Drosophila melanogaster: one gene and its partners. The protein of the gene in region 1 interacts with the protein of each later gene in a pairwise test. Each region holds a gene or a part of one and is shown in the gene's direction. Other genes may lie near its edges.

The links.
Region 2: the proteins of CG5890 (region 1) and CG4229 interact in a two-hybrid assay, tested with the Drosophila melanogaster proteins (one large-scale study listed by BioGRID).
Region 3: the proteins of CG5890 (region 1) and Spn88Eb interact in a two-hybrid assay, tested with the Drosophila melanogaster proteins (one large-scale study listed by BioGRID).
Region 4: the proteins of CG5890 (region 1) and CG9498 interact in a two-hybrid assay, tested with the Drosophila melanogaster proteins (one large-scale study listed by BioGRID).

Annotation. Positions count from the first base shown.
Region 1 is NT_033777.3:25,852,866-25,861,566, forward strand, and holds the start of CG5890 (uncharacterized protein), read left to right. Parts: upstream 1-3,288; 5' UTR 3,289-4,108; intron 4,109-8,701. Other genes in the region: CG5886 (uncharacterized protein), read left to right, coding at 1-879.
Region 2 is NT_037436.4:16,553,088-16,560,345, forward strand, and holds CG4229 (uncharacterized protein), read left to right. Parts: upstream 1-3,735; 5' UTR 3,736-3,808; coding exon 3,809-3,811; intron 3,812-3,998; coding exon 3,999-4,766; 3' UTR 4,767-4,871; downstream 4,872-7,258.
Region 3 is NT_033777.3:15,203,894-15,211,943, reverse strand, and holds Spn88Eb (serpin 88Eb), read left to right. Parts: upstream 1-3,181; 5' UTR 3,182-3,260; intron 3,261-3,827; 5' UTR 3,828-3,839; coding exon 3,840-4,820; intron 4,821-4,882; coding exon 4,883-5,182; 3' UTR 5,183-5,241; downstream 5,242-8,050. Other genes in the region: CG6654 (uncharacterized protein), read left to right, coding at 1-398; Mau2 sister chromatid cohesion factor, read right to left, coding at 688-1,168, 1,227-2,644; Spn88Ea (serpin 88Ea), read left to right, coding at 7,408-8,050.
Region 4 is NT_033779.5:6,347,622-6,355,391, reverse strand, and holds CG9498 (uncharacterized protein), read left to right. Parts: upstream 1-4,357; 5' UTR 4,358-4,430; coding exon 4,431-4,804; intron 4,805-4,868; coding exon 4,869-5,037; intron 5,038-5,101; coding exon 5,102-5,833; 3' UTR 5,834-5,999; downstream 6,000-7,770. Other genes in the region: ppk14 (pickpocket 14), read right to left, coding at 1-183, 237-436; ppk7 (pickpocket 7), read left to right, coding at 1,061-2,038, 2,104-2,236, 2,294-2,347, 2,409-2,651, 2,755-3,068; CG9497 (uncharacterized protein), read left to right, coding at 7,241-7,605, 7,764-7,770.

The DNA of each region.
Region 1 (8,701 bases):
AAGGATCTCACCGATCGGGAGCACCAACTGAAGGAGCAACTGAACATATACACCGCCAAGTACGATGACTTCCAGCAGTCGCTGCAGAAGTCCAATGAGGTTTTCGGCAGCTACAAGGTGGAGCTTGAGAAGATGTCCAAGCACACTAAGAAGATCGAGAAGGAGGCGCTGGGCTGGCGGCAAAAGTACGAGAAAGCTAATGCCATGGTGATCGATTTAGCCACAGAAAAGAGTCTGCAGACGCAGCACTCAGAGCGCCTGCAGAAGCAAATACAGCAGCTGCAGAAGCTACTGCGTGCTCTACAGCTGGAGAGGACAACACTGCACAAGTGCCTGCGGGATCACGAGATCGAAATACCCGCCCTGCCGCAGTTGCCTCCTGAACCAGAGCCAGTAAACGTCAAGCCAGTTAGTGCTGAAAATGTTAAAATGGAAATGATGTCTCGCAATTGTGCGGAACTGAAGCAAACATTGGCAAATCTGCAGAACCAAATGAAGCTGCTAACGACGAATGAATCGAAGACTTCCATTGAGGAAAAGAAGAAGGCCGAGGAGCAGCGTCAGGCGAACAATGCCAAGAAGAATATACGCAAGAAGGAGAAAAAGTCCAAGGCAAAGGCAGCAGCTGCAGCGGCGGCGGAAGCTGCAGCATCCACAACGAACGGTGAGGCGAACGGCGTTCAGGAATCAGCCGCAACGGAGTCAAAGGCCGAGCTAGAGGCAGCGGGTGATGCCTCAAACGTTAAGAACGAAAAGGAGCAGACCGTTGACATTGCGACAGACACCCAGGAGCTCGTAGGTGATGGCGACGCTATCACCGCAAAGTCACTTGTTGATATATCCGAAGTGCCTCCCCTAATCGATGCCAATGCCAACTAAACTACTGACTGTTCGCCTATAGTCCCATCTCCAAATCTCGGGCGGCCACCAAGCCTTCCCTGCAAAGCATTTTGTGTCATCCATGTCTCAACTGAAAAACGTCATCAATTACAAACCTACATGGTCCGAATTTTGTACTAGTTATTTATTGTACTTTGTATATTGTATTTATTTAAAGGATGTCGTCGGTGATCGTGTATTGCTGTTCAACAACAAATTGAGTAAAACGTGTTTCCTGCAAACAGAATAAGAATATTAAAATTATTTCTTTGGGTAAATATTTGCAGAATGTCCTTCCAAAAGATTTAAGCATAAATCTTAGCCCACATTTCGCATCAATTTGCATAAGTGGAGTGGAATGGGAAACTGCCAGAGCGCACAAGCTCGATGGCCATGGATTGCTTTCGTCATTGTTGGCGACGCCACAAAGTCTAGTGTTGCATGCAACACATTGCAATGCCAACAGGCGAACGGATGGGGGTGGCTTCAACGGTGGTGATGAGTGGTGAGTGCCTGCGGTTCGTGGCCAGGGTCATTATAATTGCGCCTTAATTATTTTCAACACGCAGCTGTCATTTTTGCCGGGCCCCAGATTTCCGCCATCAAATATTTAAGACGCATGCAACGTGGCGTATGCGTAACGCCAACTGCTGCCAGCGGTCACTCGGTGCGGGCGAGGGTGTTGAAATAAGGCCAGTTAAGTCACTAAAATAATTACACAAATTAATTTAAATTGCATAAAGAGGTGCATACGAAAGAAGGACTAATTATGCCAGCTCTCAAGGCAACAACTGTTTTTACCCCTTTTTTCACAGCATGTTTTATGTACTGTACCCTATATTGTTAGGTCCCCGAGCGTTCTTCCATGGTCATTAGAAATTTAATTAAAAATTTTGATATTGTTAGGAGTATAGGGAATTCTATTTATTTCAAGCTTCTTCCGCCCGATTGCCCATTAAGCGGTATTAAAACTGTCTTCCCCTCGGTGCCAAAGTGTCATACTTGTGCATATTTCACACCCTCGCTCGCATTCACAGAAATGTGTGCACATTTCGCAGGCAATGAGCTTTTGAACATTTAATGAGTTAATACGCTAAATTTGAAAGCCGCTCAAGCGTGCGCCAAGTGCTTCAAACACTTGTCCCCATCCCCGAGCTGCCCATTTTCCAGCTTGAATAATGAGAATGGGGGTATCAAGCCGCTAAATCCAGCACTGAAAAATTTTTCATCAACTTAATAGAAATGTGTTTATTTTTTAATAATATACATTTAGTTTGTAAGATATGTGAAATAAAATAATTTCGAGTTATTTATGAGAATTATATACGAATAAAAGATCAAAAAAATAAAACTAAATTTTTCTCAGTGTACGCACACACGCATATGCAAAACACTAAGCACTTGTCATTTGGCTGTAAACCCTACGCGTCCGTTCGTTGGTATAAAAAAAACAGTGCAAATGTCCAACAGACGAGCATATGTACATACATATGTACACTATAGGTATGTGCGATGTATGTACATATGTACATATGTGCGAAATGGAGGATTGGTTGGCTGTCGTGGCGTCGTATTCATCCTGAACTCATGGGTGTCATTTCTCAGGACCCTCGCGGTCTGCAGGATAACAGCAGCGTAACAGAAGAAGACCCTCACTGGGGACCAGGACCAGAAAAGTAGAGGCTGCCAGACTGCCTCACTTTTGGCGTTCAAGTGAAAGGACGAAGTCGCCGACACTGGTGTGGCAATACTTTTGGCAGCCAATTGTGCGGGCTGAGCAAGATGAATGAGGAATATGAGTGTTGCTTGCACAGTGGGCTACTTTCAAGGGTGTTGGAAGATTCATAACTATCTTAAAGATGCTTTCAGCAGTACTTCTTATGTGCGAGATATAAATTCAACAATTTCTAGATTTTGTAAATAAATATTTCCTTCTCTTATCCAAAATCATTTATAATAAAATAATAATTATTTTATTATAATATACAATATAATAATAGTTGTCATGAATTTAAATGTCACAAACAGGCTGTCTTTCATTAGTAACATATTTTAAAAATTACTCATACGCCACGTTGTCAGTCAAGTAAATATATTTGCCATTTAAAACAGCTCTTCCAATATTATTACAATTCAAACTAATTATATGCGTTATGTGGCTACTTAGTCCACTGTAACCGCCGAGGGCTATGCTATACCCTATGTGCCGCCCGCAACCCAAGTGAGTGCGCACCCACTCTCCGGCGAACTCGCTCTCCGTCTCCGGCGGAGTGGCTCCGGATATTTCGGCAACAGAAGCCTGGCTGCGATAGCCGGAGATTTTCCGAGCGAGGGAAAACCGAATGCCGAAGCGTCGCTGCTGGCAAACATTTTCCATTTTCGCAGTCCTGTAATCAGTTGTGTATAGGACACTCGCGTGCGCGCGTCGAACGGTTTCTGGCTTTATTTGTGGGAAAAGTGTGTGTCTGACGGCGAAACGGTAAACGGGGAAAACGCTGCGCGGTTTTTGCTGCTATCGAGTTCTTCTTTTGCTGGATTTTATATATGGAAACGATTGTTGCTGCTGTATCATTGCAGCTTGCAGCTTTAAATTTAACTTAAATGCTAAAACATCGTTTTGAAAAGCAACGCGAGAGTTAGACAAACAAGTTGGAGGAAATTTTCCAGCTACAGCTACAGCTGCTGCCTCAGCCAGCGTCGCAGTCGCTGTTCGAGATAAAGGATATGCCCGGATCTAAAAGATACAGTTTTTCCTCTTGTTTCTTTTTCCGCTGCTGCTGCTCGTGCTACATTTGCTGCTTGGCATTTTCCGCACAGCAACAACAATCGTTGAGACAGGACCGCAAGTTTTGCTAAAATGTAACATAACACCAAATAAGCAGAGTTAGGAAGAGTGAGCGCCAAATAATGCAAATAAATGAATAAGCCCAAATCATTAACAAATTAAAACGAGGCACGCAAAGGAGGGCAGGAAAATATAAATATCGAAAGGAGTCAAGTCAAGTGCTTTCGAGGAGCTGTTTGCTGACATGCTTTGAGGTTAATACCACCCACCACCACCCAACCGCCCACTACCACCCATCTCAACCATCAGCCATCACCAACTCCTCCTACCTCCCTCATCTCCGTTTTGGCCAATTTCTCCGTCTGCTTTCGCCGCTTTCTTCGTCAACGCCGCTGCTGCCGCCGCCGCCGCCGCTGCTGCCGTCACCATCAAAAGGCATCGAAGGTAAATATATATGTTATATTTTAGCCGAGTGTGTGTATATAAGTCAATGGGCCAACAAACTAACCTACAAAGTAAACAAAAGCGTTACGCTACAAATGCAAATTTTTCGCACACATGCTCAAGAACTATAAACAACAACTCATTTAACTGACGCCATGCCCCCATAAAAAAACCAAAAACAACGCAGCTTAAGACTAGAAATGAAAAAAAAAAAATGGAAAACAAACAGTGAAAAGGTGGAAATGGCACGGCAAATGAAACACAACAAAGCAAAACGCACGCTTCTAAAGCTATTTGTATAAAATTTTAATCGCATGCGATTTATTTGACTAGGCGCCAAAGTCGCACGCACGCACACCATCGCATTTTCGCAGAGGCACCCACACACACACACACGCAGGCTAGTGAAAATTCACACACTCACCTTGAAAAATGCGAAAAAACAGTCTGGAATATTTTGTTTATTTTTCGCAAAATTATGGAAAATATTTATGGGCTCTATTTGAAGTTTGAGCTGTGCCAGGTTTTTCATTCAATAATTGAGGAAAATAATGAAAATGTTTAAAAAACGCATCAAAGAGTATTTTTGTGAGATTATATTTAAAATTGGATGTGAGGCTTCGATTTACTATTGAAATGTTAATTTTCATATTTATTTAAACAAATAAGAATCTGTGTTTGAAGACGCACCTGGCTGCAATTGTTTACTGTTTACGGCACTGTGAAAATATATTAAATTGTTCATACATATTTTTAACTTTTGGCAGAAGTGTCGACAACTTGTTTATAATTTTCCAAAATAGTGAAGCTTTACATATGTTATTTTTTAGCATTGCGGTAATATATGGGTGAGAATCGAATATACTAACATATTCCTTGAGTATACGATTTGTTTGTTTTATTTTCTTTAACAATATTACAAAATGAATTATTCCCAGAAGTGGTAAAACTCTTTTTACATGGCGTTTAAATTGCGTCATTAAAAATTCCCATTATTCAACCCAATTTCCGTGTCATTTAATCCGTGACAAGCTGTTAAAAGGAAACAAACAAACAAAAGTTGTGCGCAACAATTGATAAGCAACAAAAGCAACTATCGTGCCGCTTGGCAATAAACCATAAAATAAATGCCAATTCCATTTAGATGCACAAGCCGATTAAAAAGTCAACTTGGCATAGTTTTCCAACTCGTGCGACATTGATTCGTGATTGATTTGGTCATATTGTAATCTAATTTCACCGATTTGAAAAGTAACTTCAAGTAGTGTAAATCACATTATGTAATTAATCAAATATATGGAGATTTAATATATATATTTTAAGCGATTTTACACGACAAGGTCCTTGCCAAACTAAATTCGCTGTCATCTATTTATATAATCCCTGGCCAACTATTTTAAGTGCTTCTAGCCGAGAAAAGCTGCATCTGCATCCTAAGAATAAAATGAACTTGGTCGCGGGAAGCTGGATGAAAAACACTTAACGCGCAACTAAGCGACAATTGTTGTTTTGTGTGGCATTTAAAAATAGAATCAAGGTGCGCTCTAGTTTCATTCATCCACACACAGAGACATCCCCACTCACACACACGGCGCACACACAGATACAGGTACAGAGCCTACATAAAAGTGGCTGCTGTTGTTTTGCAAGTGGGTGAATGCGGGGCAAAGGGGCGGTCGCCGGGATGTATGCTACACGAAACTGTAAATAGAAAAGTTATAAATAAAATTCACACGAGCCAACATTGAAAAAATGAACTTGGAAACTGTAAAAAATAAAATAAAATATAATAAAAACCTGGTGAGTGGACGCCATATAATGGCTGATCATTCAAATATTCAATTATTGGAATGAGCATCGATGACAGCACACAAAATAAATATTGGTAGATGATATATGTTAAATTTAAACATTTTGTGCAGCACATCTGGGCACTATTACTTACCGGTTAAAGGTCAAAACACCTTGGCCTTGGCCAAAAGGAAACTCTAAGGAAAACGCAAAGACACGCAAGGCAATACCAAACGAGAACCGCAGCTGTGAGCTGCAAAGTGATTCAACGCTTTTCGGCTATAAAGTGCCTAATCACTTTGGGTGTTAGATGTGTGGGCCATTCAATGACACTGGTAATTACTGGCCCAATCGAATGATATTGTCTTGGCCTAAGTGAGTAATGAGCAAAGGGCGTGACAATCGCCAAACGTCCAGACCTCGTTGAATAATTAAGCCTGTTCAAACGAACTGACTTTCAGTTAAGTAACTTGCACCAAAGGCCACACAAGTATCAAGTTACCAAAGAATATTATAATAAAATACCAAAAGTGTTGTTCGCATTTAACTTTTTTTAAGTGAAACCATACATTTGCGTTAAATATTATTGTGTTATATTTTCTTCGTACATAATATAACCACGAACCATTTAAAGGGCTTTAAATATGTATATGTAAGCATTTTATGCCACCAAAGGCAACCGCAAGCCATTCCCAGCGTGAACATCAATTTGCTAGCATTTGGCGACCATTAATGGTCAACTTATCGTGGAAAAAAATACTCCTCCTCCCATGGTTAAAGCCATAAAACATGCGTGTGCAGGCATCGGGTGTGCTACATACACACATATGCAACAGCTAGGAAAAAAAGGAATCGTTTAGCTTTCAAACAGCAACAAACTTGAAATTTATATAGCCAACCGCCAGATGTGTCTATAAAACTTGCACATCCCCATTCATCCCATACGAACATTCATTTTACGGAGGTTTTTCCAATTTTTTTCTTTCTTTGTTTCCCTCTTATATTTTTATCACCAGCTGATAAGAGCAAAGTTTGTCCGAAAGTTAGCGCCTGTAGCCGTAACACACATACGCCATGTGTTACAAACATCCGATGGAAAGCAAGAAAGAAAAGAACGAAACGAAACGAAATTACCCGCAATTTCAGAAAAGTTAAATGTCTTTGCAGCCGAGCATTTTGGTAACATTTTTTAATTGCCCCACTGGGGGATGGGCGGAAATCCACATTTACAAGCGAACATATGTTGGTAACATGCAATTAACAAGCCAAGTCCAAGCACTCTGCTGATGAGTAGATAGCTCGTGCAGGTCTCGACTATCACATACCCGGTATTTCTCTATCTATAAAAACAAAATGATTCCATTCTTGAAACAAATCTTTTTTTCGTATAACCATACTATAATAAACATTCCTTCCATAGTTAAATCATACACTAGGTTTTTTGAAGTAGCCTATTAAAAAGAGTGGCAACAACTATGCTCAGCCACCCACGCGGACCACTTACAGGCATTAATTACTATGTCGGGCCTGCCAAGTCAGCAACGAGCCACGAAAAGTTGAAGGACCAACTGGAAAAAAATATTGCATACTTTTCGGAATTTTCCCCCCAATTTGGGCAGTTTCCACGCTTTTCACTTTCTCTCTCTGTTTTCTGACAAGTTGTATGAGTTGCGAGAGTTGAATGTTTCTTTTTATTGCCATTGCCATTGTTTTTGTTGCTCTTGTGGCCCGTTGTTCTTGTTTTTGGCAACATTTTTATATTATTTGGTCGGTATATTGTTCTTGTAGATTTTCATGTCCATGGCGAACAACAAATGTTGAGGAAGAAGAAAAAAAGTTTGTTATGTAGTGGATTTTTCGCAGAACAACGTTAAGTTGAGAAAACAAATTCCCAAATATGTAATTGGTTTTTGAGTGCGGCGGGTAACTATAGTTCTGAATATTCGTAATGTTTTAAGAGTTGGCAAGTAGAAGTATCTAAAAATGAATCACAAAAATTTCGACTACTTTTTGACAAGTTTAACGGATATAAGGAGACAAATTATGCCACTTCTAAGCAATTATGTTGTGTAAGCCAATTTAACTTGTTTCGATCGAATTTGACTTGTCCTTGGCGGAAATAAATTAAGTCAGCTCATAAATTAAACCAATCCTGGCAAGACTCGCGGCTCATACACCCACGCAGCAATAAGTTCATGAACATATCTCGGCATATTTATAGCTTTGCCAAAGCCCGCTAAGCTTTTGCCATTTTGGCCAAGAAAAGGGCACAGCCACAGACCGAATGATTGTCTGCAAGTTGGCGCATATCGCCGAACCGGAAGTTCCGGGGGCCAACAGGGTTAGCGGGTGGAAATATCCTCGAATATCCGTGGCTCTCTTTACAGATCTGTGTGTGTGTGCGCGCCGATGTAACGACTTATTGTTCAGAATTTCGCACAGTTGAATACCAAATTGTGAATACCCAACTACTCCCCATTTTGAAGTCGTTGCAACTATTTTGGCAGTTTCCTTACAAGGCTTTTTGTTGGCCTGGCCAACAATGAAGTCAGTTTCTTGTTGGCCATTGCCAAAAATAACTGCATTTTCTGGACGAGGGAGTTAGTAAAACTTTCCCCATACCCGGAAGTGCAGCGTGGAAACTTTTTTATTGCTTGCCTGCCAGTTTGCATAGAAGTCTCTAAAATTTCTGCTTGCTGCCATAGATTGCATTTTTAGTAAGTCCTAACGGCTGCCAAATTAATGAATACTGATTGCACCAGAGATTGTCAGTAACAAGCTTCCGCCATCACAATTTCCCTC
Region 2 (7,258 bases), on another chromosome or scaffold:
TACATAAATTTAAATTGAATTTTAAAAATTCAGAAGCCAAAGAACACCTCCGAAACGATGAATGCGTGGGTGTGTGGGGAGTGCCTAATAAAAACGTTTGCTTTGCCATCGATTTTCGGATCGTCGACTTCAAAAATTTCCGTCTCGAGTTTATAAATATTTATGCGAGGTGCTTTTCGGGTTTTCCCAGCCACCCTTCAACCAGAGTCTATGATAACTAGATGGATGGACGGGAGATGGGAAAACTATAAGTTAATGCGAGCTAAAAGGCACCAGGGACACGGTGCGTATGATTGATGAGCTTTTGCGGTCAAGTCATTTCCCAGTTTTGAGCAGCAATTGAACATCTATATGAAAACATATGTATGTGTTTTCTGATTTGTAAACTTTGCTGTTGAGTTATTTGGAAAAGTTGAATCTATATTGAAAGGGTTAAATATGATTTTAAAATGAGCTTACATATACATCAAACAACTGTACACGGAAATTGAAAACCAAAAGGTTTTGCTTACAACTTTTCATTTCTAAATAATGAACATATATCTTAAATTTTCATATTTGGAGTGCTTGCATATTTTATTTCATTTAAATTATTACACATTTGAAGATACTAAAAGTTGTTTAGTGAAACCTCAAATTTTCTGGGGATTTAAAATCTGTTTAAAGAGTTCCCAAAAGTATGATTTTCAATTTCCCTGTTTACTGGTGACAAACCAACTTTAAAGACAAAGCTTGAGTAGCACTCACCGTTGGATTTATCATTAGTACAGCTCTTGAAGCTCAACAGATACTCACGCCCACGATTTCAAGTTTCCAGCGGCTGCAGTTCATCAATTTTTCAACAACTCTGACAGCCGAAAGCGACTTTTCGGGCACATCATATTGTACATCCCAATGGCAGTCAGTGGACCAACTGAGACACATGTAAGAGCTAACATGTGGAACCGTGGCTTAATTACCTGCCCCAAGCTGTTGCCATTAACAACAGATTTTTGGCCAACCCAATCGATGATTAGGGCTAAGGACATGGCAGTTCGCAGGACCGAATTCAATTAAACTGTCACAAGCCACAGAATGAGTGACTTGGATTTATAGTCCAATTAATTGAAGCAACGTCAACGCAAATGTAAAATTAAATGATTGCGAATGCCTGTCCGCAGCGAAGAAGACGGATGCCGCCTGGTTGGTTGGCAACATGCAGGCGAATTTGTTAACAAAAAAAGGATTTCCATGTTGAGATTTGCCAGCATCAACGAGTCACGATAAAAAAAAGGAAGCACGCAACGGCGAAGAAAAGAAAGTAATTTAAATTTGTAAATCGATAGGCTTGACGGTGGAAGAACCCTTTTTTTTTGCAAACCTGCCGCTTTTTTCCCTTCTGATTTTTTACGTGATGCCGCGCCCATTTAAATTTTATAAATATTTTAACTTAATGCCAGCCGAGCGGTGGCCGACGGCGCCTAGAAGTCCTTGAATTTGCATAAACTAAAGACAAACTGGAGCCAGGACTTCCACTCCTCTTGGCTGCCACTCAAGTGTTCTCTATTTTCGACTGGGGTCTGTCCTTTTCGTGGACCTTAGCAAACATTCTCAAGTTGGCTGCCGTGGGAGCCGCGGGCTGCTTTTACAGCCTCTTTTCCAACCCCTTTGCCAAACCCATTTCCACCTGCCTGGCTTACAGCGACGATTTCCACTCAAGTGCAGGACCTTACAGCAGCTTTAACGTCTAATGGTCCGGATAAGGAATGTCTTATCAAAAATATCAGGTTTAATAGGATATCACTATCACAATAAAGGCTATATGAACTTATTCACAATTTTCTTTAAGTAACAGTATATTAAAGTGTAGTGGGACAACACATTTTTCGACTTAATGAATTTTGCATACATACAAATAGCTCAATTAAATATATTTATCATAACATTTCAGACACTATATTCATATTAATGGAAAATGGAATGAAAATGGAAAACAATATATTTTCAACGTTTTCAAGAAATAAGTGCTCTCATCCATCGATATTCTTGTCATAGTTATATTAAAGGCTTTTTTATATGCCATCTTTAACATTTCACTAAAATATGTATGTTTACTTAACCGAAGTAAATAAAAGTGGAGAACCCCTCACCTTCATTCGATTGCCGTTTATATTTTACAATGCTTTCAAGACATAAGTTGTCCTATCCATCGATATCCCTGCCATCCCTAGCTTAAAGTCCTCAATGGTTCGTTTCATTGACCCAACATGCAAATTGACTGTGAAACAAACAGGCAAGAGGCAAATAGACAAAGTTTTACATATGTATAGAATCGAAATCAAACACACACAGACTGAAATCAATGAGCCCCGCACAATTTATGTCTCAACATATCCTATATGCCATCTGCATGTTTCTGGGTTTTTTTTTCTGCCTATGCCGGGTTTCGCTATAAATTATTTCCCCCACATGGCAAGGCAAAAAAGTCGGCAAATACACCACCGCACTCGTCCTGCAAACATAAAATATTACACATGAGTGGTTTTTATGCAAAGAAGCTGGGCAAGAAAAGCTGGGCCTCCTCCTTCGACACTTTAAACTTGGCTAAGCAACAAGTTGGTCTTCTTTTTACGGGTCGATCGGTGTGGCAAGAATTATTGCGTTGCGGCGGAAACTTTAAGAGCCAACGGAAATTGTTGCCGCCTTTTAGGCCGACAACCAGGGAATGATTTATGTGCCACATGCAGCACGGTGGTGTGGGTTTATCCCGCCGTGGGAGTACAAATCTCTTACCAACTTATAACCATATATACGATGGCACGGGTCGCACTCGTTCATTAACAATTCATTAAATGCCACCAGAAAAATTAAACGCCAGGCTAAGTAGGGCAAATTTATGCTTGGCTGACAGGACAGCGAAATTGGCTTTCAGATGTGGTTAATATATATATATAGGTAAATGTAAACATGGGTTACAGTTGCGTAAAAGGTATCACCAAATAATGACTGGCATTTAATTTAAATAACAATAAGTACGTAAATTAGTATTGCTATATGGATGGATGATTGATTGATACATTTACATATCAAAGTAGTTGCTTTTTATAGATAAAAGTAACAAAGAGTGTTTGCGAGCTCATCAATTTTTTTTTCGGCATAAAGACCGCAATTGAATTTGGTAAATGTAATATGCACAATTATGTTTATGCCTATTAAATGACCCTCGGTGTTTGGTTAACAAACGCAAATACATGGTCGAAAATGAAAGCAATAAATAATTTTCGCAACAAGTTCTGATGACAATTTCATTGGCTGTGACAGCTGGGTTGGTTGCGCCCATTTTCCATGTAATACGCATTAAAATTAACTTAATTATTCACCGCCAGGCAATTAGCTGTGCAAAAAGCGATCCAAATATGATGAGAAAATAGAATAGAAGACTCTCAAAGAGTACTTCCGCACAATTCGACAGGCCTGTGAATTAACACCTCAAAAAATATATATTTACAGCTCGAAGAAAAAACGTTATGAAAATAATTGAAATAAAAATGCGGTGCCTAAAGGTCAAGTCGACGAACGAGGTCCAAAACCTGGACCACTTGACATTGTCCAAAGCAAAACTGAGGCAAGACGAAGCACCCAAGAAGAGCACTCCACTCTGAAGTGGCTCCATTTGTTACTGGCCTTTTTGTTTTTGGTTTCTCTAATTATGGCCGAACTCGCTTTTGGCTATATATTGAGCAGTTGGCCATTAGCAAATCATCAATCAGCTCAGGCAACTTTCAATTGCAAGACGCAAATCGTAAACCCGAAAAGGCAAACTTGAAAAATGGTAAGTCCTCAAGGATTTGAGTTTGCTGCAAAGGATTAAGTAAAGTCGCTAAACAAATCAAATAAATTGATCAAAATTCTACTTGGAAAGGAGGAATTTAAAATGGATTTTGGCTTAAATAAAGAATGCAAAATAAAATTCAACAAGCCCATGAAAATACTTCCACTAACTAATACTTATTTTCCAGAAAATCTTCTCGCTTGGTGGTGTCCTTACCCTCTCCGCTGTGGCCAGTGTGGCCCTAGGTGCTCCTCAATTGGAATCTCGGCTGCGCCGCGATGTCTCGGAACTGGTGGATCCCGCTGCAGTGGAATATCTGCCTCCTTCGGTCACCGAGGCTGTCCTCCTGAACGCTGAGCCTGTGGAGGCTGAGGCTCATGCCGATCCTGCTGCCCTGGAAGCCGATCCGGAGGCCACTGTCCTGGGCGATGAGGGCTACGAGTACCGCACGGTGCGCCGCCTTAAGCTGCGCCATCGCAACCGTCGTGATGTGTCCCATTTGCAGCCAGCCAGGCAGTATCTGCCACCCAGCACCGCCTACTTGCCACCTGCTCAGGAGGCGCAGGCTGCACCCGAGGCTCCGGCAGCTGCAGCTCCACCTGCCGATGACACCGAGGAGGTGGTGTCCGCCGCCGAGCCCAAGGTGAACCGGGAGTACCTTCCGCCCACGGAAGCTGCACCAGCCGCTGAGGAAACCACCGAGGCGGCTGCACCCGAGGAGCCAGCCGATGTCCGTGTGGTGGATGTGCCCACCGTTTCTGGGCAACTGCTCCAGGATGGCTACCACTACCAGCAGCCGGCCGAGATGCCCGCCGAGCTGAGGGAGGCCGCTCCCGAGTATCTGCCTCCGATCGGCGGCGAGGAGGTCATCGTGGAGGGTCCAGCTGGAGGCGAGAGTGCCGTCCTGGGCAGCGATGGCTACCAGTATCGTGCCATCAGGCGTTACAGATTTTAAATTTCTCAATTTGCCAGCGATTTGCTAACGTTTTGTTCCACCTTTTAATTGTTGTTGATGTTTTTTAATTGGTCTAAATAAAATACAATTTTCGAACAGTACACTAAAAAATTGTTTAATGCATTATTATAGATAGCGGTGAAAAGTTGTAAATTCCTGGAAAATGTAGTTTCACCTGATTGATTATTAATAATTAATGCATATTTAATGCGCAGTGGAAAAGAAGAGTAATGCGATTAAAAGGTTCAACAAAAAGTAGATAAGTTTTTGTAATGTATCCCCTTCTTCCTTTTTTAAATTTATTTTCTTCACCTCATTGAAATATGCAAATTTTTGAGTTAATTAAGTAAATCTTTATACATGGCAGCATGAATCAAGTAAATACACACTAAGAAATTGCTCGATTGCACAATAAATCCCCAGCAAGGACTTGATTCCCAGAATAGTTGCAAGGTCTTATGTATTTATATAATTAAAGTCAACAGGCTTATGGGCTACAAACCTGTGGCAAAAGCAAACATAACATTACGTATACGCACTGAGTGGGTTTGAGCTGCGCAGTCAGTTGGCTTACTTGTATGTACATTTCAGCCTTGTTTAGTGTCAATAAAAGGGCTTTTATATGTGAGTCGTCAATTAGCTGAATTTATGCCCAACTGGCATAGCTGGCAGCTGCTCCCCTTTGATGCCACCCCCCCCCCCCTCTACGATATGAAAATCGTTGAAGGATTTTATATTAATGCTCGTCCCGCATCCTGCCACGCCCACTGATTCTGCCACTCGGTTGCCATGGACGCCTTTGGATCTTAATTAATGCACTTGCGCGTTAACTCAACTCAATGGAAATGAAGGATGGAGTACGTTCCGGAAAATGTTCCACACAGAGGAGCAGCATTAAGTGCTCACTCAAGTTAAATTACTTTGACGGAAAAGCGCAGATAATGACCAGCTCGTCATTTTTACACACTCACTCTTCACTGGCCAATTTCTGCTGGCGTTCGCATCCGGATCCTCTTCTCGTTTCTTCGTTTTTAAATTATGAAATCAATTGTGCGAAATTCAATTAAAATCTTTGCACTTTTTGCCGCTGCACAGTTCCGGGCATGCGTATCGAAACGGCAGGCAATCTCAATTACATTCCAACATCTGTCCAAATATGATAAGGCCCTACCAACATTATACGCATGTTTATTTTAGGTCCGAATGGCCCCCGGGGAATGGCAAACGAAGGGTTTGGACCGAGCTGCCTCTGACAGCCCGCTTATTGCATATTAAATTGGGAGGACAGCGGCACAAATCAGAAATCAGGAATCCGGAATCCGGAATCTGCCAACGGGAGCAACAAGCCGAGCAACAAGCGGCTACATTCGTTTTGAGTGCTCGCCCGGAAGGACATTTGTGTTGTGAGCAAAGGAATAACAAAACCATGAAGTAGGGACAAGCATGACATGTGGAGTGGGCACTTCTGGGGTGTTTGGGCTAAAGTGACGCCGGTGATGGGAAATGCTGCTTAACAAAAAGACAAACATATTTGCGAAATCGATTTGCTAAAACAATTTTTTAGATGACAGTTTATATGTCATTTGATGGAGCCAGCAGGAATTCAAACTTCTAAACCTTGATCGTTATTCGCTTGTTGCTGTGCCAATGCCTACTGCTTAGGTGCTATTTTGAGAATCGCATAGAAAGGCGCTAAATTCGTATTATATTCATATTCGCATTATACTCAGTAACATAGCTTTGCAAATGATATAGAGGTAAGACAAATATATTTAAGAATCGTTACTCTTACTAGTTACTAGCGATTTTAATTGCTTATAAAATTATGTGATAATATATGAAGGTAACTAAATCCATCACAATTGCTATGTATCAGATAAATTTATCTCCAGTTAAACTAAGCGACGGATTATCTTTAACATTACCTTAACAATGACTTGTAAAACGTGAAAAATCCACACGAAATTCCACACCTCAGTCTGGGATAAATCGAATTGCCGCAGGAAGTCAATTTCGTTGGCAAAAAGCCGGCGCTGCAAGTGACAGACTCGCCCTGTGAAACGTTATTAAAAATTATTATGCATATTTATAAATTTAATTTGTGCATTACAGCGCTTTCCGACAGATAACACGTAGTATGTGCGGTGGGCGGACGGGCTGGAATCACTGCAGGCCATTCGAGTTGAGCTCGTAAATGGCAGCAGATATTCATTCCACAACAGGCTGCGTATGCAGGATATTCCATTTTGATGTCCTTCCCTTTCCCTTTCCATTTCCCTTTCACATTCGGTGTTTCTTCCCTGCGGTGCATATTTCATACACGCTTTGTCTTTCGAGCGGCGAGCATAAAAAACAAAGGATGCCAGGATACGAGATACTTTCACACAGACGGTCGCCTGTCAAGTGCCGCGTTTAACGGTCCTCGAAGTGGCATCCTTAACCGAAGGATGTGACTTTTGCAGGTGGCCCCCTTTCCCCCTCTCTCCCTCTCT
Region 3 (8,050 bases), about 11 Mb from region 1:
GTTGCTCCCTGGCCAAGCACAAACGAAAGCACACTGGCGAACGGCCATACGCCTGCGATCTCTGCCCCATGAGATTCACTGCCCTCAATGTGCTAAAGAACCACCGAAGGACGCACACAGGTGAGCGGCCGTACGTCTGTCCCTTCTGCTCGAAGACCTTTACGCAGCGGGGTGACTGCCAGATGCACCAGCGTACACATCAGGGCGAGCGGATCTACATTTGTCCGGTGTGCAATGAGGAGTTCAAGTCGATGCCCGAGATGCGATCACATCTGGCCGGCCACGAGCAGCACGACAAACGCCTGGTGCACTTCACATTTCTAAGCAACAAGGAAAACGGAAGCGGGGCCCTTGAAGAGGAACTTAACGAGATGACCGAGTCTGCGCTTATGCTATAAATCAATGTAGAAGCTGTGCAAGCAAGGCGGCTTTTGTAAAGGTGGTTGAGTTTGCCTAATACCCAAGACGGATCCTTACTTTTAATTGTAATAATGATTATAATCCTAAGTTGAACGACCCAACTCAAATGCGCACAACTCATCCGCTTTACATTTCCGTCTACTCTTTCCCTCGGGAACACAGTTTATGACAAAATTCACAACTTTAGAACATCTTTAGTCTTAACTTAGTCGCTAGGTCGTAGATAAAAATAAAAGCTTAAAGTTACATTGCATAATCATCTCATTGCTAGTAGAACTGACCGTATTGCCCCGCCGGCTGCATGGCTGTCGATGTGGAGGCGATGACGGGGACTGAGGCTGTAACGGAGGACTCTGGCATGAGCAGGACGGGAGCAGCCGGCGGACCACTCGTCACTGGCGGATCGCCCTGGAACCAGTTGACGAGTTCGTGATGCGCACTTTGGACGCACTTGCGCTGGTCTGCAATCAGGTTCTCCGAGTATTTAACGTGGTTAGCATAAGCATCTTTTTCATGCTGCACATCCTTTGACATACGATGCAGGTCCTTTAGTATTGCCGATCCCCACAGCTGGACGTGGATGTCGGGTATCTTACTGGCCAGTTGCATGGCCGGCGTCACCATGTTCATGCTTTCCTTTGAGTTTCCGATGCTGAGAAAGACGTGCGATAGCAAAACCAACGAGCAGCTGGTCAGTCGGTTGAGGTCTTCGGCGTTGGCCATTTTCAGAGTTTCACGCAGAAAGCGTCTGAAAAGAATAAAGATTATCAGTTTACATTCTAGAGTCTTGGCTTAAGGTGACTAACTTCGCCTCGTGGAAGCTATTTTTGTGAAAAGCATGCAGTCCCTGGACGTAGTAGAAGCCTCCCATCAGCGCTTGACTGCTATACGTGTGCGTGTTTTCCGTTGAGACGGCATCCAGGATTTGCTTGAGGTCCGTGTCCCGCTTGGTGCGCAGATAAATGATCGCCAGGTTGAGGTTGGCAAACAGTTTCAGGTCTCGCTCGCTGGTCTCACTCACGCACACGACGAACTGCCTCTCCGCATGCTCAAAGAGGTTGGTGGACATGGAGTAGAGCCCGATGAGGCAGTGCAGCTGAGCCGAGTGTCGCCGTAGCAGGCTGCGTTGCGGAGCGGCCATGCAAACGTCTCTCGCGGCTGCTATTTCCCGGATAGCCAGTTCCCGGTTGCCCATCACCATGCGGCACATCACAATGTGCTCCAGCAGAATCACCTTGAATACGGATAGAATGGGTTTGTCCTCCTGTTGCTTAAGTTTTTCGATCTGGGTGAGTGCTTTTTCCGTGTACTTTTGTGCTTTGTCCATGTAGCCCGCCATCATTGAGTGGGAGACAGTGACCAGATAGACCAGGACGTACAGCTGCTCCTTGGGCAGCCACACAAACATCTCGAGTTGATTTGCCCCGAAAATCGCCTCATCCGAAGGCCAATTTGGCGCCATTATCGTTTGTATGGACATCTGCAGCTGTTTGAGACTAGGCTTCACCGTTTTTACCTGCCCGAGGGCCAGGTAGTAGCACACCTGTAGCACCAGGAAAAACACCTTCAGGTACTCCTTCTGGTGTGGATTGGGTATGTTGTTGTCAATGATTTGGCCGGCGGAGTTGAGCAGGGCGAGCACGTCGTTGGTCTTGCGCTCGATCATAAGGATCATGGCGCGCGAGAGCAGGAAGAGCACTTTCAGGTACGTGGCGCTCGCCTCGTCGGCACTTTCCGCGCCCACGGCCAGCAGTTCGGAGGCCAGCGAGTACTCGCGATCGCTGGCATGTATTTGGGCCAGCTGGAGCAGCAGCTTGCAGTGCCAATAGACGTTGTTTTGCGACAGTTCCACGGCCCGCCGGAGCATCGCCTTGGCCTGATGCGAGTTTCTGTCCGTCTGCAGATGCAGTTGGGCCAGCAGCGAGGCGGTGTCGAACTTAACGTCGAAATTGGGCAGCGGTTCGGATATGCTCCACGCCTTCTCCAAATGCTGGCGCGCCAGATCGATGTTCTTAGTGTAGGCCATCAGGATCTGGCCCATCTGCAAATGTGTCCGCGCCTCGACCTTCGAGGGCGGCATAAATGTGAACAGGGCTTGAAGACACTGGATGCATTTCTTGATGTTCGGCGGCTGCGAGGTGCGGAAGTACTCCGCCAGGCCAAGGAGCGATATGTAGCAGGCGTCCTGGGACGCCGCCGTCGACGTGCTCGTCGATGCACTCATTTCGGTGAGCGGGTGCCAAATTCGGTTTGTTTATCGCGTAATTTTGTTGTCAATTCGCGACTATTCAATCACGGTGGTGGCTGCCAGTGTTGTCAAGTGCGGAATTCTAGTGGTGAACCAAGCTTTAGCGGTTATCGTTTAGCAGTCACAGTGGCAGTCACTCTTTTTCAGTACCGCGAATGGTCCCGTTCAGCAGAACATAAAACTTGAAAAAAGCTATCGCTTAAAAACAAAACTGAGTAGATAATATATATTTCTGTACGAATCAAAAATTATTTCTTTTTGCAGTAATCAACTAAATAAATTTAATAAATATAGAAAAATGAGATAATATTATTTAAACATGGTAAATTTAGCAGAACTCCAATTAGGAAACCAATTCTTACTTTAAATCACTGTTTAGAAAAACCGTCTTATTTCAGTGACGGAACAGTACGTTATCAATTTAAATTCGAGGATCAGCTGCGATTTCGCCCGCTTATCGCATTATTCTCATTATTTTTAAGCCTAGCTCTGCCGTTTATTGCCACATGCATTAGTCAGTGATTGTAAGTGCAATCGGTTGGACCACCATTGTTTCCGTTTTGATTTAAGTTCTGTGCAAAATTCCGTTAAGGTAAAACCCAAGATTCTTTTAAAATAAATATTTCATACGCTTGTATCAATAACGACTATACATAATAATTTATGTTTGCAATCGATTTAAACACATACTCCGGCACATGAAAGTTTCTTATCAGTATAAATATACTATATAATATATATATATATATAAATATATATGTTATAAGAATTATGATGAATACAAGAAATACAGAATTCTAGGAAATGTGAAGAAAGAGATTTTTTTAATGGTTCTGAGAAACTTGTCTCAGTTGGGCTCGTGTCAATGTTTATATTTAAAATCCTATTGTAAAAAGCTCATTTTTAATAGTCCGACAAAATTTGGATGTGCCACAAAGTCGATTAAGGATTCCAACACTATCTCTGGCAAAATCCCACAATATACATACATATGAACAATAAACTATAATGTTATGAGGCCAAGATTATTTAATGATTCATGTTTTTTCTTTGGAAAAATTCACATTGTGAGAAATAATATCACATCCTTCACTATTTATTAGTTCTAGTTCATAAATTCTTTATAGTTCATACTTAATGAATGTCCTTAAATTTTTAGACAGTACCAACTATGCACACCTTCAGTTTGGTCCTGTTGGCCCTCCTTCCCGTAGTAACCATAGCTGCCTTGGACAAGCCGGAGCTATCATTTCTAAATGAATTCTCACAAATTTTCAAGGGAGAACGAGACTTCTCCTTAGCATTAATGAAACAGATCCGAGAGATATATCCCAGCGGCAATCTGTTCTTCTCGCCGTTCAGCACCTACAACGCCCTGCTCCTCGCCTACTTCAGTTCCTCCGAGCAGACGGAACGTGAGCTGGCCCAGGCACTGAACCTGGGATGGGCATTAAACAAACAGCAGGTCCTAGTTTCGTACACGTTGGCACAGAGGCAGGACGAATTTCGTTGGCGCCAAAGTCCCATGGAGCTCTCGTCTGCGAACAGAATTTTCGTCGACAGGACAATAAATGTTTCCAACAAATTCAACACTTTACTCTACGGGGCAACCAAAGAATTGGATTTCAAGAATGATCCGGAGACTGGCCTAAAGGAAATTAACGACTGGATAGCCGATAAGACGCACAACCAGATCCGCGACATGCTCAGCTCCGAGGAGATCACACCCCACACCATGTTGGTGCTGGCCAACGCCGCCTACATGAAGGGCCAGTGGCTCAGCCAGTTCAAGGTGGAGGAGACCGCCTTGAAGCCATTCTTCATTAACGAGCGTGAGCAGGAAATGGTTTACATGATGCACAAGACGGGCGCCTTCAAGATGACCATCGATGAGGGCTTGCAATCGCAGATCATCAAGCTGCCCTACCGCACCATATACAAGTCGAAGGAGACGCACATTTCCACCCCCGAGTCCAAATCCGATATCTCCATGATTATCATTCTGCCGAACTCCAACAAAATCAGTCTTAACCGTGTCATATCCCGGCTAAATGCCGATTCCGTTAAGAAATGGTTCGAACGGGCATTGCCGCAGAAGATCGAGTTGTCGCTGCCCAAGTTCCAGTTTGAGCAGCGCCTGGAACTGACCCCTGTAAGCTATGACCTAACTGGACCACTTGAGTCGCACTAACACGTAAGCTGTTACCTTTTCAGATCCTCAGCTTAATGGGAGTGAACACAATGTTCACGAGAAACGCCACCTTTGGAGACCTGACTGCCGATCCCATTTCCCTTGTCATCGATGACGCCCAACATCTGGCCAAGATCAAAGTGGACGAAGTGGGCAGCACTGCGGCAGCGGCCACCATCCTCTTGGTCAGCCGATCCAGCAGGCAGCCCGATCCCACCAAATTCAACTGCAACCACCCGTTCGTGTTTCTTATCTATGATGAAAAGGTAGACACGATTCTCTTTGCGGGCGTCTACAGCGATCCCAGGCAAATGCAGCACTAGAAGTGTTTTAAGACTTGTGTGTTTTTGAAAAACTTGAAGAAAAATATGCTCTATAATGCACCAACTGTTATTTTCATTTATTAATTTCGATATAAGCTAGCTTATTGAAAGGTAATACTTTTAAATTTCCATACAACTCTCAAAAGCTCATATCCAAGTCACAACATTTGTATCGCAGTTTAAGTAACAACTTTTGCACGAAACGCAAACCCGTTGAAGCAACCCACATCTTGACTTTCTGAGTGACAATCATCGGATATCGATATCCAAGCTGCGCTTTGGGTTTTAAGTACCAAGCTACTTTGGAGCACCGGACTCAGTTTATAGTTAGACGCGCTGGTGAACGGACTTGCAGTCGTTCCAAGTAATAGTTGTATATCGGTGCCACTTAAGCCTACGTTTACTCGAAGAAGGTATTTCCCAGTGATCATCCAGTTGTGTCTGTCCCAATTTGTTCAACTCCCCGGCAATTGTGACGATCATTAAGCGAACGAATCGGGTTGAAATTAAAGCGTTGTCTATTATTGTAACACTAATCAGCATGCAAATGATTGCACAATTACACATACATACGTAGATATATGTTTACGCATATAGGGATTTGAATATACATACATATGTACATATATCAGGCACGCATTTTAAATGGGCCAGTGTATTTTCGCTGTTTATAACTTTTTGCCACTATAGCCTTGATTTGATTGATCTCTGAAGTGCGATCCCATAATGACCTCCAATTTAATAGGTTTTTCACTTGATGACTTTAAAGAAAAATATTGTTTTGAGTGACACATAGCTCTGCGTTTATAAATAAAACGGGGAAAACACTGAAATCGGAATGAAAATATTTATTTAATTTTGTTGTGCAAAAATAAATAATTTTGCCTTAGTCACTCATATGACATGATTAAAAAGTAAATCGCATTTGTCCAAGAAATTTGAATTCTACTTATATTTATTTACTAAGAAATTTCAAAGGAAGTGCTTGTGTTTTTGACAAAGCAATTAATCCAAGTTCAATGCAGCTTAATTTTGGCTGACATGTCCATTTCCACCTGTCAGTCAAAAAACTGGTTGTTCAATATTTTTTGGATTCGCCCAAAAAAAACCCAGCAAAACGCACAAAAAACGACGCGCATGCGCAGAAACAGCGTTACGTCTATGGGGTAAAAAAAAAAAAATAAAAGACCCAGCCGAAAGCAATTACAAAATCGCCCATACAGGGTCAACAATGAGCATTCATACGCGTTGAAATACGTTTATGAATCATATACTATGTATATTGGTAACTGCCGGTGGTATCCGCAACCGGTTATCGAAAATGTTAATTTTGGGTTTTTTATTTTCACACAACAAAGCGCTTTTCACTGCAGTCACGCAACGGATGACTTCGTCATCGCTCAGCTGCTGAAAGCAAAACTGGAGCTATGGTCATCACAAAGCTCAAGCTCCCAAACCGATCCCCGATCCGATCCGATCTGTGGGCGCTCCTTCATGCTCCGATGGATGCATGTGGGAATGGCTGATGTATGGATACATTATGTTCGGATTGCGAATTTCGAGTGCAGAGCAGCGGAAACTTTCACTTTTTTTTAATGTCGCCTCTGCGGAGATGTTGCAACTGTCGTCTGCAAATAGCTGACCACTCCATGGACTGGAAAAAGCTTTTTGGTGAATCAGCCTAAAGCGATCTTTAACGACCTCAAATCGGTTCTATATTTTCTAAAAAGTTTCAATCACAAATCATCTAAGCTAAGTCTATAAAATATTTCGTGATTGTTTACAACAATTCTGCAGTAGTCGGTTTATGTAACTAGAAAACCCTAATGACTTGAAGTTTGGCAAACTAAGTGAATATTAAGTACGTAATTAGCTGGGACTTGCAGTTCTAATTTAACTACTCCCATAATTAGTAGTGACTTTACACAGAAATCACTTTGGGGAATTTTGTCAATATTTCTGGGAGATTCATAAATTTTTCTGGCCTGAGTGCGCTTTAAATGCTTAGTTGTCTAATAAATTAGATGAGAAATTATACCAGGATTCAATGCCGGTCACGTATTCCACACAAATCACACACTCAAAAATAAAATGGTATACAAGGTCACATATTTAGGGGTCTTGTGCTTTTCGGTTACCCATTTCAATCACATGTGCTTGCAGCCGTTAAAATAATTGCTATTTTAACTTAAATCATGTTCCAATTTTTAGCAGGCTTCCACATCATGCACATCCTCAGCATATCTCTAATGGCGGTCCTGCCGGCCATCGCCTTAGCCGGTCTCTGTGGGGTTGAGCCCGATGCGGGTTTGTTGGATCAGCGGCTGAACCTCTATAAGGGCCAACAGAACTTTGCCGTGTCCATGCTGAACGTGATTCGGCAGAGCACTCCCAATGAGAACGTCTTCTTCTCGCCGTACAGCACGTATCATGCCCTGCTCCTCGCCTATTTCGGATCCTCTGGTGACACGGAGAAGGAGTTGGCCAAGGTGCTGCATCTGGATTGGGCCGACTCGAAGGAGGTGGTGCGCAGTGCCTATATTCTGGAGAAGATGAACCGTAAGGAGCGGCAGAGCAAAATGCCTCTCGAGTTCTCCTCAGCCGATCGCATATTCTTCGCCAATGATCTGCATGTGACCGAATGCGCAAGGAATCGTCTGGCCGAGGAGGTGCAGCAGATCGACTTCAAGAGCCAGACGGAGGAGTCGCGCAAGCAAATCAACGATTGGATTGCCAAGCAGACGCACGATCAAATCCGCAATATGCTCAGTGCCGATGAAATCACTCCGCGCACTCGTTTGGTCCTGGCCAACGCCGCCTATCTGAAGGGTCAGTGGCTCAGTCAGTTCAAGACGGAGAAGACGGTGC
Region 4 (7,770 bases), on another chromosome or scaffold:
CGAGACCAGTTCAGTCGGTTCTTGTTGCAGATGATGACCACTGGAAAGGCGATGTGATGGATTGAGGCATGGGCGTGGGCAACGATGGTCTGAAACTGCTTGTTGTGGTACCGGTCACCCAGCAAATAGCTAACGTGGAACAGAACGGTGCAGGCGCAGATCAGGGCCAGTGCCCACAAAACTCTATTAAAGATATATTATTTTTTCCCAATTTGATGATGACTTGCTTATCTCACCGCATACGTCGTCGCATCGAGGGTAAGAAGAGCAAATACAATCCATGGATGTGCGATCTGGATATGTAGCTATCGATCAGTAAAGTCCAAGCTCTTTGGATTTCTGATTTTGTATTGACTGGCGCCAAAGGATTTTGGTCCTGTCGCCGTATCCTATCAGCCACCACTCGCGTTTCCTTTTCAGTTGAGCGAACGAACATTTTGATATGAGTCCTTTATGGTGCATCATGGCTTTTATAACCAAACTCGAAATTTTTTGATCCTTGCAAGGTGTTGAATACATCAGTCACTTTGTCACATAAATAATACAAGTCCTTGCTGATTTTGATACCAATTAGCTTTTCACATCAAGAGATTGACTTAATCTTTGAGTGACAGTTGATTAGCGAATTTAAAGTTCCTTAACTCAAAGACCAAATTGGAAAAAATCAGTTGGAAATGCTTGAAAAGTGTATCTTAGGGTATTCAAAGGTCGCACCACCATTATAATTCGTAGACAGCGATTTTTTATCACTGTTTGCAAATCAATTGCGTTTGATTGCATTCAATTGAATTTATTTCGATGCTCATTAGCCTAAACCATGACCATTGGCTGCGAATCAGGTTAGATCTCCTGGGAGTAGGCAATCGATTGACTCGACCTTTGGGTGACAGCCGGGTCAGTCTAATAAGGGGTCGGCATGTCAGCCGCATTTTGTGGCTTGTCAACGCGCTAAACGGCATCTAATTACCACTGCATTTCAGCACGCATTCCGTTCACGGCACATGGACGGTATAAAAACCTGGCATTCCTTGCGACCAGACTCAGTGAGTCCTGTGCCGACATGACACTGGTTTACTTTCCTCCTTCAAAGCTTCAGCAGCAGCAGCAGCCATCGAGATCCAGTCGCCTGGCCCAACAGTTGGCCCAATCCTCCTGGCAGCTGGCCCTGCGCTTTGGCAAACGGACCACTATCCACGGCCTGGACAGGCTGCTTAGTGCCAAGGCCAGTCGATGGGAGCGATTCGTCTGGCTGTGCACCTTTGTGAGTGCCTTCCTGGGCGCGGTGTACGTTTGCCTGATTCTCTCCGCCCGCTACAACGCCGCCCACTTCCAGACGGTGGTGGATAGCACGCGGTTTCCGGTTTACCGCATACCATTTCCGGTCATAACGATCTGCAACCGGAATCGCCTCAACTGGCAACGCCTGGCGGAGGCGAAGTCAAGATTCCTGGCCAACGGCAGCAACTCCGCCCAGCAGGAGCTCTTCGAGCTGATTGTGGGCACCTACGACGATGCTTACTTCGGTCACTTTCAGTCCTTCGAGCGATTGCGCAACCAGCCAACGGAGCTGCTCAACTATGTCAATTTCAGCCAGGTGGTGGATTTTATGACCTGGCGCTGCAACGAGCTGCTCGCGGAATGCCTGTGGCGCCACCATGCCTACGACTGCTGCGAGATCTTCTCGAAGCGGCGCAGCAAGAACGGCTTGTGCTGGGCTTTCAACTCGCTGGAGACGGAAGAGGGCAGGCGGATGCAGCTGCTCGATCCCATGTGGCCCTGGCGTACTGGGTCGGCGGGTCCCATGAGCGCCCTCTCCGTGCGTGTTCTCATCCAGCCCGCGAAGCACTGGCCGGGGCACAGGGAGACGAATGCCATGAAGGGCATCGATGTCATGGTTACCGAGCCATTTGTGTGGCACAACAATCCGTTCTTCGTGGCCGCGAACACGGAGACGACCATGGAGATCGAACCCGTCATCTACTTCTATGACAACGACACCCGGGGAGTTCGCTCCGACCAGCGCCAGTGCGTCTTCGATGTGAGTGGTTATCTTGTTAATACCCACCAAGGCTATTTCTAATCCTGCACTTTGGATGCCTCAAGGATGAGCACAACAGCAAGGATTTCAAGTCGCTGCAAGGATACGTTTACATGATTGAAAACTGTCAGTCCGAGTGCCATCAGGAGTACTTGGTGCGCTATTGCAACTGCACAATGGACCTACTGTTTCCACCGGGTGAGCACGTTATCAAAATCGTTACCAAATGATCGATTCATTGGTTTCTCTGACCAGGTCAATATCGATCGTGTCGGGCGCAGGATTTGCTGTGCCTCGCTGAGCACAATGGTTAGTAGGAGTCCAGGCTCACCAAAGAAGACCTTATAAAACCAGTATCCCTCACCCGCAGACCTGCTCATCTACTCCCACAATCCCGGCGAGAAGGAGTTCGTTCGCAACCAATTTCAGGGAATGTCCTGCAAGTGCTTCCGCAACTGCTACTCCCTCAACTACATCAGCGATGTCCGGCCCGCCTTCCTGCCACCGGATGTGTACGCAAACAACTCCTATGTGGACCTGGATGTGCACTTTCGCTTCGAGACCATTATGGTCTATCGCACCAGCCTCGTCTTCGGCTGGGTGGACTTAATGGGTCAGTACGAAATCAAATAGCTTCTATAATCCCGTAATTTGTTCCACAAACTATGTATTAAGAGACATAGCTAATTAATAAATAATCAGGATTTTTCCACCAGTTAGCTTTGGAGGAATTGCCGGTCTTTTTCTTGGCTGCTCCCTAATTAGTGGCATGGAACTGGCCTATTTCCTGTGCATTGAGGTGCCGGCCTTTGGGCTGGATGGACTGCGTCGAAGGTGGAAGGCTCGACGGCAGATGGATCTGGGCGTAACCGTGCCCACGCCCACTTTGAACTTTCAACAAACCACGCCCAGTCAGCTGATGGAGAACTACATTATGCAACTGAAGGCTGAGAAGGCGCAACAGCAGAAGGCGAACTTTCAAAACTGGCACCGCATAACATTTGCTCAAAAGCATGTTATTGGCAAGTGAATCGAGTGAGCGAATAAAATATTCATTTAAATTAATTTAAAATGCTATGATTCCGTTTGGTTTTAAAATATTTTTTCTAGTGTTTTAAATTATTTTGTGCCACACCGAAATTACTGAGTGTGATAACGCAAAAGCTCTGTGGAAATGATTTAATCTATTGTTAGCGTGTGCGTGATAAGTTGGATGGGCTGGGCTTTTACTACTGAGGCAATATTCATTACCTACGGTCAGGAGCGGATTAGCTTCGATTTGCAGGCACCAACTATCAAACAATTATTGATTTTTAAGAAAAAAGCAGCATTTTATTTATTTTATGTTAATTCCTAAATGAGTTGGTTAACTTGATGAGAATTTGCGTTAATCATCATACAAAGAAAATACTAATAGAACTAAGTGAGAAACTAGGTGATTATATAAATCTGGTCCAAATCCCCCGCGCTGTCCAAATCCTTCCCTGAACCCGTTGATGTTTAACACTATCATCACCGTGAGTAAAAAATACACGTGTATATATGAGATGGACGGCACGTTTAAATGATTCTAGAATTGTATATTCCGATACGGATGCCTCAAGCAGAGTTGATAACACCCGGAGCAAATACCACGTCTGTTGACCCACTGACGGGCGGTGTTCCAGCAGCGAAGCACCGCCTGTTGTCAATCCGAACTATCAGCCGAATCGAATCTCAATCTCTCCATAGAGCACCTATGACGTGGTCGAATGACTTTGTTCAACAGGTTGCTGCTATCAAAACAAAACGAAAACAAGAGCTAAAAATTAATTAGGGTTTCATCAACCCACAAGCTAGTGTATTTCGTTGGATGTGGATGACTATGCAAAACGCATAGAGTTAGACACTAGACTGAGACTTTTGGCTCTTAGAAAGCTCGAGGCAAACAGTGGGTCGCAGTTGATATGTAAGTAAGTAAAAATTTAAGAAAGTAAGTAAGAAAATGTCACAAAAAATAGATAGCTATAGATATTGCACAAGGGTATGGCTTAGGAAGCACAACATTGTAAAATTTAATAAAGAAATATATAACAGATTATTTTAAGTGAAACTTTAAAGAGCCCCAATACATATTTTGTAGACGACTTTTATATTTAAATAGAACTAGAATATAAATTCAATTCATATTCGACCCACTATACCTTTTACCACCTAATTAGTTTATTTTTACGATGACACCACAGTCATACGAAAAGCTCGGAATTGTCGTATAAACATTTCCCAAAAAAACTAACACTATTGCAAGCAAATATAAAACGCTGAGTTCTACGAGGCCGCAAAATCAGTTGGCTACGAAAGGCAAGCGTTAAGGTTTCGATCGGAGGTGTATCGCTTTAGTTAGAGATTCGAAATGGTGGTCATTAAGAACGAGCAGAATATCTCGGTGCCCGAGTATCTCAACGAGCACTTCTTCACAGAGACCCTGGAGGAGGGTTTGCGGGAGTCGAAGGTGACCCTGAAGGAGATCAATTTTGCGTGGGGCAGCAATCCGGGGGACAACTATTGCTCGGCTATCTATCGTGTCGGAGTCTCGTTCGCTAGATGGGCCGACGGTGGGGAATCCCCGGTGACGGAGCAGCTTTCGCTAATTGTGAAGACCATTCCGATCACCGAAGCCACTCAGTTTCTGGAGGATGTCTGTGTGTTCATCAAGGAGAAGCAGACCTACACTGATGTCTTGCCGCGATTGGATATCCTCAGCCGTGGCGACACATTCGGAGCAAAGTAAGTTAATGAAAGTTTTGGATAAAGGCACACAGTGCTTACTAGCATCTCTATCTCACATCAGATACTATCACTCTGTGAAGACTCCGGTGCAAACGATCGTGTTCAGTGACCTCACGGTAGAGGGATTCAAGGTGGCCTCGCGTGAAAAAGGCCTGGACTGGAACCACGCCTCACTCATTCTTCAGCAACTGGGAAAGTTCCATGCCACCTCCATGGTGCTGGCCAAGAAGGTAGCAGTGATGACTCTGGAGAATCCTCGAACTTCGTAATGACTTCCTTTTTGCAATTCCACAGGATCCCGCTATTGTGAAGCAATACACGCGTGGCATGCTCAGCGAGGACATCCTGATGAAGAGCGACACCTTCGAGCAAATGTTCGGCGGCTTCCTCAAGGGCCTCATCAAGAGCTCAGCGAGCTGGGCCGGCTACGAGAAGATTAGCAAGCACTTGCAGCGCCTTATGGACAACTTCCGGAACGTGTGTGCGGATGCGCCCAGGCCGAGGAAGGGTGATCGCTACGTGGTGCTCAACCACGGGGATTTGTGGACCAATAACTTCATGTACGGATACGATAACGCTTCACAGCCGGACGTTCCCACGCGTGCCATCTTCGTGGACTTCCAACTCAGCTTCTATGGCAGTCCGGCCTGCGATCTGAACTTCTTCCTGAACACCAGCATCAAGCTGCAATTGCTGCAGGAGCGCCGCGAGGAGCTCATCAAGGTGTACTATGCATCCTTCAAGGATGCTCTGGAGTACGCCCGCTTCGAGGACATTCCCAGCTATGAGGATCTGCAGTACGAGCTGCGCAGCCGCGAAACCTACGGACTTTTCGGCATGTTCGCCTTCCTGCCCATGATCACCATGCCCAAGGAGCTGGCCCAGGACAACAGCATTGAGAACATGCAGGACGAGGCCTTCAAGCAGCGCAAGATGGATGCCATCTTCTCGCAAAAGTTCCTGAACGACCACCAAAAGTGGGCTCTGAAGCGAGCTGATTCACTTGGCGTCTTCGGGGACTACTGAAAAGTGGCATGAGTATTATAATGGTTGGGGTTCTGTGATATAAATGGAGGCTCTTCCAAGGCACACATCCTTGATATAGCTATATTAGCTTTCGGCCTGAGAATGTAAATGTTTTGGATTGATTAAAGTACCAAACCTGACTTCAATGCAATAAATCAAACTAACGAAATGTATTTTTTATTCAGATTTCAGGAATATGGTATCAGACAATTTTCAGGGGCTTGCACAACACATAACCACTTATGTTTTCAATTCATAGTCGCTTAAGTATACCACTTATTCTATGAGTGTACGCTGATTTCTGATGCCTGAGAATGAGAAAATATTAAGATAAGATCACATTGACGCAATCGAATCAGGGACTTATACATATATGGTTACATTTCGGGTTGTAGGTTTCGAGATCCGAAGTAACCATAAAAACGATTGAGTTTGGAAACCTTATGGAAGCACAGTCAGCTTGAGCTTGAATTAATAAATTACACAGTATATATTACGCATTTCTTATAAAGCTTACAATCATCTTGAATAACCACGTAGGTATTAGATAATAATACCCTTAGCGATCACGTGCATTCAGAATTTGATGATTTCATGGTTGTTTCCTTCAAACATTCTCAGTCACTTAGTTTCTGCAGTCTGGGATTATTTTATTAGGGCTCTATCATTAGGTCAACTTATAAAAAAAAGTAGAATAGTGTTATCTTCTGTCTAATGTGTTTATTAAAGCTATAGCTTTTATACAACAGGTTGCATATATAAAGTACCGAATGAGGTATATTCTTTTTATAATACCCATCACCTAAAATGTAGGAGGATAGTAGCCATCTTAATAATATCATCTAAACCTTGTGTTTAGTGCGATATATGGCCTAATCATATTACCTTTAAGGTAAGATATTGAATGTAATCATGCCAAACAGATTTAATATAAACGATTACGTACAAATATAATATATTTAAGAAGCGTTCGCATATAATTAGCTTCGGATTGACACTTGACTGAAAGCGTTCCCTTATCAGAAACTCGTTGGATTAATGCAAATTCGAATCAAAACTTGATAAGATAATGAGCTGCCAATCGCTGCAAGTGGAATTCATCCAGCAGAATTCGAAAAATATTCAAACTGAATATTGTCGGCAGAGTTCAAAACAGGAAGTCAAATTACTAGTTAAATGCGCCTAAAAAGGTCGACGTCTCCGCGTTGCGTGTTTTACAAATATCGAAAAATTAGACATCTCGTTGTCGTCTATTAAAGTCTATATATAACTGAAAGTATAATACTACACATAACTGGATACACATAACTATAATTAATTGCGCCGCCGGATTCAGCTGGGCAAGATCATAGCGACACGTATATAAATTGAGCACCGCCTGGTAGCCACTTTTCAAACGATCCCAAGATGTGTAGCATTGTGTTCGACGCGGACGTGGTTGCTCCACCCAGCCACCTGGACGTGCCCTTCTTCGAGGAGGTGCTGGAGACAGCTCTGCGAACAGCCAGGGTGCAGCTGCTCTCCATTCACATCCGGATGGGCAGCAGCACGGGCGAGAACTACTGCAGTCAAATCTACAGAGTGAAGGTTTCGTTTAAGCGCCCCGATCATCCGGAGCAGCACATGGCGTTTATTGTGAAGAGCATTCCCCACCTGGACTCGGTGGAGTTCATTGATGACCTGCAAGTTTACCTCAAGGAGAAGATCACCTATTACGAAGTGCTACCGCGGCTAGAGCTCTTGATGCAGTGCAACCGGAGATTCGGACCTAAGTGAGTCTCAAAAAGTCTCAAAGCCGGCCTTAAATTGCTCATTACTCATCAAACTACTTAATCCCATATTACTCATACGCACTGTTACATCGTAATGTGACATAGACAAATTATTCTCAACGTACTGTGGTTTAACCTATATCCTTATTCTTGCAAAGACTTTAT